Linked DNA regions of Xenopus tropicalis. The protein of the gene in region 1 purifies or fractionates together with the protein of each later gene. This does not show direct contact. Links are inferred from orthologs where the notes say so. Each region holds a gene or a part of one and is shown on either strand. Other genes may lie near its edges.

Region 1 (4,376 bases):
CATACTGCATCCCTTCCCGCTTAGCAACATACAGCGTCCCTTCCCGCTTAGCAACATACAGCGTCCCTTCCCCCATAGCAACCGACAGCATCCCTTCCCGCTTAGCAACATACAGCATCCCTTCCCGCTTAGCAACATACAGCATCCCTTCCCGCTTAGCAACATACACCTTCCCGCTTAGCAACATACAGCGTCCCTTCCCGCTTAGCAACATACAGCATCCCTTCCCGCTTAGCAACATACAGCATCCCTTCCCGCTTAGCAACATACAGCATCCCTTCCCGCTTAGCAACATACACCTTCCCGCTTAGCAACATACAGCATCCCTTCCCGCTTAGCAACATACAGCATCCCTTCCCGCTTAGCAACATACAGGATACAAGATCCAGCTAGAAGTGCAATGGGGCAGCACACAATGAGAGAGAGAGAGAGAAAGACACCCAGTGATGAGAGCGCTGCCGGGAATACTCACACTGCCCAGGCTGTAATGCTCAAACAGCTGCTGGTACGGCTGGCCCCCTGAATTCTGCTGGCACGGGGCAGGAAAGTGCTGAGATGCAGAATGAAATTGCTGGGAACCTGGGGGGGCTTGTTGCAAAGGCTTCTGGGAATACTGCTGCAGAGGCTGCTGACTGTGGTGAGAGGACTGGTTAGACATCTGCTGGGACTGCTTCACAGACTGTTGCTGAGACGGATTCATGGGTGCCTGGGACTGGCGCTGAGATTGCGGGGACGGGGTGGCTGCTGGCTGGGACTGGTTGACAGACGACTGGGAATGGGGCAGAGGCTGCTGGGACTGGTGCACAGAATTCTGCAGATTGTGTGGGGATTGGTGCAAAGGCTGCTGGGACTGGTGCAATAGTGGCTGCTGGGACGACTGCTGAGCCTGATGTGATGGCTGCTGGGAACGGTGCAAAGGCTGCTGGGACGGTGGCTGGAGTTGCTGGTGCAAAGGCTGCTGGGACAGCGGCTGAAGTTGCTGGTGCAAAGGCTGCTGGGACGGCGGCTGAAGTTGCTGGTGCAAAGGCTGCTGGGACGGCGGCTGAAGTTGCTGGTGCAAAGGCTGCTGGAGTTGCTGGTGCAAAGGCTGCTGGGACGGCGGCTGAAGTTGCTGGTGCAAAGGCTGCTGGGATTGATGCAGGGGCTGTTGAGGCTGCTGAGACGGGTGAAGTAGACTGGCATGGCTAAAGTGGTATGGGGGCAGCCTCTGGTCACCAGGAAATTTGCTTGTATCCAAGGGGACTCCCTGAGAAACAAAGGGACAGGATCAGAGGTGGGGCACGGAACAGGGGGGCACGTGACCCCGCCCACTCACACACACACCTACCTGGGTAATGGAACTCAGTGTAGGAGACATAGTAGGGGAGAACTGCTTCTGGTGGGCCCTTCTAGAGTCCCCCCCCAGAGGGAGAGTGAGAGGGCTCAGTGGGACTCTCCGGCGCGGGGACGTGTTCATGGGGGTGGGCACCGGGGGAGGGAATGAGGAGGATGGCGAGGATGGGGTGCTGTAGGCCGAGGGAAGGCTCTGGCTGCTGTTGCTGAGGGAAGAGGTCAGGGATTGGCTGCTCAGAGAGGACTGCAGGGAGGGATTGCTATAGGAGGTCTGCAGGGAGGGGTTGCTAAGGGAGGCCTGCAGGGAGGGGTTGCTAAGGGAGGCCTGAAGGTTCGGGTTGCTCAGTGATGACTGAAGGGACGACCGACTCAGCGAGTTCTGCACTGACGATGGGGAGTAACCTGCACAGAGAGAGAGAGAAATTAAAGCCCAGCCCAGGGGATTATGGGAAGGCAGAATGGGCGAGTATCTATCTGGGTGGTACCTGGAATCTCATACTCTGGGGCCAGCCCCATCCTGCTGATGCCCAAATGGGTCATGGTGTTGGCCAGATTGCCAGTGCTGCTGCCCCCGCTGAGGCTACTGAATCCTGACTCGTCCAGATCCAGGGGGGTGGGGAGAGGGGAAGGCAGGTGCAAATTAGTCAGGTCCGGCAGTGAGCCCCCAGAATTAAGGACAGAGGGCACTGGAGGGATACTTGTGGGCTCGTCCACTGATGGGCAAATGCTGCAATGACAAAGAGAACAATCACAAATGGTTCTAGGTGCCCCTACTGCCCAGTGTACAGTATAATATGGTTCTAGGTAACCTTACTGCCCAATGTACAACATAATACAGTCCTAGGTACCCCTACTGCCCAGTGTACAATCTAATACGGTTCTAGGTACCCCTACTGCCCAATATACAACATAATACAGTTCTAGGTACCCCTACTGCCCAGTGTACAACCTAATACGGTTCTAGGTACCCCTACTGCCCAGTATACAACATAATACAGTTCTAGGTACCCCTACTGCCCAGTGTACAACAACAACACCTACTGCCAAGTGTACAACATAATATGGTTCTAGGTACCCCTACTGCCCAGTGTACAACATAATATGGTTCTAGGTACCCCTACTGCCCAGTGTACAACATAATGCGGTTCTGGGTACCCCTACTGCCCAGTGTACAACATAATACGGTTCTAGATACCCCTACTGCCCAGTGTACAACATAATACGGTTCTGGGTACCCCTACTGCCCAGTGTACAACATAATACCGTTCTAGATACCCCTACTGCCCAGTGTACAACATAATACGGTTCTAGATACCCCTACTGCCCAGTGTACAACATAATAAGGTTCTGGGTACCCCTACTGCCCAGTGTACAACATAATACCGTTCTAGGTACCCCTACTGCCCAGTGTACAACATAATACGGTTCTAGATACCCCTACTGCCCAGTGTACAACATAATACAGTTCTAGATACCCCTACTGCCCAGTGTACAACATAATACAGTTCTAAATACCCCTACTGCCCAGTGCACAACATAATACGGTTCTAGATACCCCTACTGCCCAGTGTACAACAACAACCCCTACTGCCCAGTGTACAATATAATATGGTTCTAGGTAATCCTACTGCTCAGTGTACAACATAATATGGTTCTAGGAACCCCTACTGTGCAGTGTACAGCATAATATGGTTCTAGGTTCCCCTACTTTTTCCTGCAAAATAACCCTTATGGTACTACTGCTCGTAAGGTGTGGGCCTGGGCTGTCACTTACTTAATGCCTGGAACTTCACAGGATTTGGGCCGAGAAGACGACATGAGCATCTGTGGGGCAAAAAAATATTAACAGAGCAGCAATGATTTATGTACACACAAAACAGATGCACATCCCATTACCCCATGAGAGGAGACGGCAGGCACCCAGGGCCACTCTCTGCACCCACATGAACCCGCACACACATTCCAACAGGGCCACAGACTTACCCTTTTAGCATCACACGGACTCAGCAGGTGGCTGCTATCTGAGTGGAGGTCCTCCTCTATAGCCGGCGCCGGAAAGAGAAACGCTGAGGGGCAGATCGGGAAGGAAACATGGCATGAGCCTTTAACTGACTACCGACCCCATAATCCCCCCCCTACAGGCGACTACCGGAACAAACCAACCCACCGGTTCTCCTGTTGGGCAGCGCCATGCCCTGTGCGGCTCCGTATGGATCCTGTGAGCTGGGATTCATCACGCTGGTATGGAGAGCAGAGTCCGAGTTTGTCCTGAGGAGAAGCCATGGACACACGTCAGGGCTAGTGGGAGGGGCCAGCAAGTAGCCACCGGGACAAAGCAGGAAATAAACACTGAAGCCAGAAGGGGCCACACGTTGCTTATGGTACCCAGCACAAGCACCCACTGCTAGCCCAGGCACACACCCATATAGCCACACACACCCCTATGCAATAAGGCACTCGTGGTACAGGGGGGGCGGAGGGGGCCACACAGCTGCTTAGCTCCTCCCAGTACGCAGCAAAGCGGCAGAGAGAAGCGGCAAAAAGAGGGAAGCGGCAGAAGAAACTTCACCTGTTTAGGGCGGTCGGCAACCTAAAGAGCTGTCCTGTGTCCGAGGGGTAGTTTCCCCAGGGCATGTTCCTTTGTAATGAAAAACAGCAGAGTTATCCAGGGACCCGAGGGTCTGGGGTGGGCAGCCACGGGGGGGGGGGGGGGGGTATATAATGGGTGGGGGGCACAAGGCCTGTGGTTAGGTGCTCCAGCCACATATATTAACTTATGTGTCTCCTTCTGCCAGAGAGGAGCCCCCCGGCAGCGCACAGGAGGAAGCCCCGCCCCTAGCATCCCAGAGAACCAATCAAAAGCAGGAACCCCCCAAACTGTGTAATGCTCTTTAGTCTTCAGCCGCTGTCCTTCCCATTCACAGCCTGAATAGTCAGCTATAAATACCAGCCACGGGGCAAATGGGGGCAAATGTAAGGCAACTGGGTCCTTGGTGGCACAACGGTTCTTCATGGGTGGGCACATAGAATTGGGGGTGTGTCCC
Region 2 (5,057 bases), on another chromosome or scaffold:
CTATAAAATTAATAAATATAAATGCTGCGCTTCTTTGCACTGTTTTTAGCACATTAATATCCTTCATAAGGACTGGGGCGCAAAAATGCATTTCATACTTAAAGGAATACTGTCATGGGAAAACATGTTTTTTCCAAAACACATCAGTTAATAGAACTTCTCCAGCAGAATCCTGCATTGAAATCCATTTTTCAAATACACAGACCCTATTTCCTATATTTATTATTAAAAGGTCATTTTAATATATATTTTATTTTAAAATTTCACATGGGTCTAGCCATGTCCTTCATTTCCCAGGGTGACTTGTGCTCTGATAAACTTCAGTCACTCTAAAGCTGGAGTGATGTCACCCCCCCTTCCCCCCAGCAGCCAATCAGCAAAAAAATGGGAAGGTAGCGAGACAGCAGCTCCCTGACACCTGTATTGCTAAAAGTGGTAGATGTCAGAATAGCACTTAATAGTAAAAAATCCAAGTCCAGTTTAGGACTCCTCCAGTTACAGGAAAGAGAGAATAGATTATCTGAAAGCAGTGAGAATTTGTAGCACAACTCCTTCTGAAAGATAGCTTCAAGAATAAAAATTTAAATGCTAGAGGGAATGATTTGCTATGTAAACGGTGTAATTTAGAAATAAAAAGTACCCCGTAAAAGTCATGACAGTATCCCTTTAACGGAAGGCCTTACCAGGGATCTATACAGAGTTAATGTCCGTTTTCATGCAAGACTAGTCCCGAGAGATACAGCCTAGAGCTGCACAGTGTAAGGCTGGCCATATACTAAATGATCTGCTTGTTTTGGTGAAGCTGCAAAACAAGAGGATCTCACCTGTATCAGCCCACCTTGAGCTGGTCAATATCACACTGATTCAATTTGATCCAAAGACAGTATGCATTCTGTTAGGAGGAGGACCATGCTAACAAGCTGATTTGGTTCTTGTCCCAATGGGATTTTTTTAACTTACCTGATCAGCAGCTGGCCAATTTTCAGCCAGATAACATTGAATTTGCAGTTAATGTTCACTGGGTGCTTTGCCAGTTCCAGAACCTGCCTGTTAGCAACACGATTAGACAAAAGTTAAGCATGCTCCCTAAAATGACTGCTGTGGGGCCGTCACCCCTAGTTAAGTCACTAAGTAACGCACTTTAATGCACCAGTTGCTGTAACAGTCTGTCACTGGTACCATTTTGTCACCAGTAATGGGGACACAAAGACAGACAACTAATCTCCCTGAAATGCCTTCCCACTGGCATCAGTGACTTGTTGGTGGGAAAGCATACACAGCTCATCCCTTTCTAAAACCAGCAAATGAATCTGTGTGTAACCCCTGCCCTTACATCCCCTCTCACCCATCCCTGTGTTATAGTAACAGCCATGGAGATCAATGGAAATCGGCTGCTATCCTGCTGTTCCTTGCATAACCCTATCATTAGAAGGGAGTGCATTCCTACAGAGGGAAATGTAATTAGATTGGCATCACAGACGAGTTTAAGTGTGATTTAAATTTAAAAAAAAAAGGGGGAATAATAGAAAACTGCGCCCCAGTCACAGCGCAGCGCAGCCCGACCAACTTTAGCGCTCCCGCCCCGCCTACTTACGCAGCCTTGGGAACTACTAGAACAGAAGGATCTCTGACATTACCTGGAAGCTATATAGTATAAAGCCCGTCTTTTCTATTTCACTACCTCCCCCTCCATCACAATAATCAATGAGACAATCGTCCCATACCTCCCGGACTCCCTTATAAGGTCAGCATGAGGTAAAAACCCCGCCCTTTCATGCCTGACGCAAAGCCGTTGGGCCCCGCCCATTTGTGCCGCGCCTGCTGCTGTTGCTAGGGAGCCGTTGCCATAGAGTTGAGCGATTGTCCGCGTGCGCAGGCGGAAGTGCCCGGATTGAGGCTGCCATCTTTCCCGGGCAGAGCTAGAGAGACAGAGAGGTTGAGTCACTGGGAGACGGAGACAGACAATCGGCTTCCATCCGCCCAGTAGATCGCCTTTAATCCCCGCTAGCTACCGCCATGGAAGAGCGAGAGGATCTAGTGTACCGAGCCAAGCTGGCAGAGCAAGCCGAGAGATATGACGGTAAGAAGAATCGCTAAATTCCCCCCCTTAGGTCGACGGGCGGAGAGAATGGAGGCGAGACAAAATGGCGGAGGGTCTAGCAAAGGGAGGGGAGGACAAAGGAGACCCTCATAGTACAATAGGGACTGCTTTTCTGGGATGACAGTTGCTTAGACCTGGCTGCCATTTAGTGTTAGAGGAGCTCCCTGGGGCTGGCTGCTGGCGGCCAAGCGGGAGGGGGCTGTGGTAGGAAGGGAGGCTGCTTATAAAATGGCGACTGCCGAATAGGGCGAGACTATGGGGGGCGGAGGGCGATTTATGGTGTAACTGACCCTTCAGCCTTTTAGGAGGAATAACAGAGGCTTAGACTGGGGGGCAGCTCCCCTATTGATACACTACACATCCCAGCATGCACTGCTAACCGGGCTGCACGGAGTGCATGGGAGCTGTGGGACCGCAGAGGGGATGTAGGGATATATGTGCCGGGGATAGGGCAGTGTGCTTATGGGCGGATCACTGGGGAAGATGGCGGCTGGGGCCGGTAAAACGTCTGCAGTGGTGCAATTTCCTGGATATGTGGGAAAAGCCGCTTGTCTGGCAGCGGAACAGGGGGTTAAGGCATCGCCATGGAAATGGCACTTGGGTGGGATGGCCCTCAGGCTGCGGGCGGCATTTGTGGGCTGAAAGGCTCATTGTCCCAGTCAAGCTGGAATCATGGACAATGTGCAGGTTTCGTGTCTGGCCAGTAATGAGTTCTCTTGGGTTACACACACTGGTCACATAAGGGGGGTCTCCATTATTCCTCAAAGCCCTGCAACCTTCAGCTCTGAACTACAACTCCCAGCATTCCACTGGCTTCACAAGCTGGAAGAGGCACAGGGGTTTGATAGCGTTCCGATGGGATGGAAATCTAGCTCCACTGAGCTTAAAGCTGCATCCAAACGGTGTTTGAATTTTTAAATATATTTTTTCCCAGAATTCCAGCATCTGTCAGCCAAAGCAGTCAGGGTGTAGTAGCTTGCTGGGTGCATCCTTTCATTGTACATTGGTGCAGTGTTATTGTGCAGACCTCCTATCTTTGTTATTCCACTGACAGCAATCTGGGTGGGGGGAGAAGGAAGGGTTATGGTGATGCTGCAAGCCCTTTTACTGTACAAAAAATCTTCCCATGATAGGTCTAGCTCAGATTTTTTTTCATTATTATAAAGGCTGTCTGAGATAACAGCCTATTTTCTATACGTTTTTTTAATTTTCATATGTGATATTTGCCAGGTTAATTCACACTGTCCCAGAAGTGGATTCTATAGTTGGCTGTTTCCTTAGCCAGCCTTGCCTCAGTGAAGCAGTAGGACGCGCCTTGCTGCGCACCTCCGCCCTGGGCCTGGCCTGTGTGCTGTTTCATGCGTCCAGGCTCATTCATTCCTGTCAGACCAGTCCCTCGTCGTGCAGAGGGATTTGTAGATCTGCATCTGGGTGCGTGTCTGTGAAGAGTTGGCAGGTGTGGGCGTGCCCTGTCTGACAGAATGGCCTTAGTCCTGACTGTTCTACAGGATAACAGGCATCCATGGAAAATTGATATATTTTTATTATTATTTAGATCTGGTTTATTTAATTTCCTCCAGCCGCCCTTATTTTTCTTTTACACCCCTAATTAGAACAGATACATTTTCTGTTAAATTTCTCCCACTTAAATTTTAGATATGGAGGAATAATTTATTTATTAAATGCACTGTGATGTTACTTTATACATATTTTAGATAACTCCCCAAGAAACCACATGAGAGGCATTGAAATCCTTATTAATGGAGTGGGGGTACCAGTCACCCACCTCCTTGCATTTATGGAATGCTTGTTTATGTGGTTACCTTTGTCTCACTTGTTTACTATATTTGGAATCCTGGGAATGCTGTAGTGTTCTAGAACAGAGTGTCTGGAACCTGACCTGAGGCAAGAGAATGTCCACTTATCCACATATGTTCATTATTATGTGAATAGCAAAATGTGGTAGGTCCTCATGCTGGAATGCTTGGATATTCACAGAAATGTCATTGTTAGGGAGGCATTAGAACAGGTTTTGAGAACCTTTTTATTCAAGAGATTTAATTTTCAGAACTGTGTGACTGAAACATGCACATCAGATGTGTCTCTAAGATATCTATACCATCCTACAGCTGCCCAAAGACTCCATTTGTATGAGTTATATTTCCACTGAGCTTCTGTATAGCGGATAATACCCCCCCCCCCCCCATATACACACAAAGTTGCTGATTTTTAAAGTGCTGTCTACATAAGTAGTTCTAAAGTCCTGAAGAGTGTTGGGTACCCAGGGTTATCTGCGAAATTTTTTTTGGGGGGGTTTAATGGGGTTTCTGGGGTGTCATTTTTTTTTTTTATTCCTTTACAGTTATTCATTCAATTTTTAAACTTCCTTTTTACTATTTCACTTCTTGCATTATGGTATCCCTCCTGGTAGTCTTTAGATTGTGGGCCAGAACAGGTAAAAAATGTGAGCTGGGTGGGGGTCTACCCAGTTAAACTCACATCGGTCTCTACACAGTTGTATATTTTTAAGAATACACTAACAGTACACATAGGGAACAAAAGTTCAGTACAAATATTTGTTAAAATCTATTCAGTAAAATGGTAAAGGGGCTGTATACTCTTGTTTAACATGAGTTTAATTACTAGGCCTTGTGCCAAACATACTGTTTGCCTATAGTTTTAAGTACAAAAAAATGTATTTACTTCTTGAGCTGGACTGGGAAATTAAAAGCTACTCCATATTTGGTCCTTTCCAGGTAGCAAATGATATTACCAGAGCTCAGATAATTCCCCTTCATACTGCACTTGGTTGGCTTGTATACTGATCTAATTAGCTCTGTTGCAAAAATCAACCATGGTGTAGAACCATTGATTTTTTGATAATAAAAACAGCCAAAAAGTATGTTCAGCACAAGCCCTATTCATTGAATTTATGTTAAACACTGTTTACTGTTCC

What was found. Proteins that work in one complex are often made in the same cells at the same time.
Region 2: the proteins of crtc2 (region 1) and ywhae purify together in Homo sapiens (affinity purification with mass spectrometry; 3 studies listed by BioGRID and IntAct, with this or other methods). This does not show direct contact. The link is inferred for Xenopus tropicalis from reciprocal best matches to the Homo sapiens genes CRTC2 and YWHAE.

What each region holds. Positions count from the first base shown.
Region 1 is NC_030684.2:144,414,476-144,418,851, forward strand, and holds part of crtc2 (CREB-regulated transcription coactivator 2), read right to left. Parts: intron 3,971-4,376; coding exon 3,902-3,970; intron 3,601-3,901; coding exon 3,500-3,600; intron 3,399-3,499; coding exon 3,316-3,398; intron 3,157-3,315; coding exon 3,107-3,156; intron 2,060-3,106; coding exon 1,818-2,059; intron 1,735-1,817; coding exon 1,328-1,734; intron 1,247-1,327; coding exon 473-1,246; intron 1-472. UniProt on the Homo sapiens protein: Transcriptional coactivator for CREB1 which activates transcription through both consensus and variant cAMP response element (CRE) sites.
Region 2 is NC_030678.2:46,066,694-46,071,750, reverse strand, and holds the start of ywhae (14-3-3 protein epsilon), read left to right. Parts: upstream 1-1,846; 5' UTR 1,847-2,016; coding exon 2,017-2,080; intron 2,081-5,057. UniProt on the Homo sapiens protein: Adapter protein implicated in the regulation of a large spectrum of both general and specialized signaling pathways. Binds to a large number of partners, usually by recognition of a phosphoserine or phosphothreonine motif.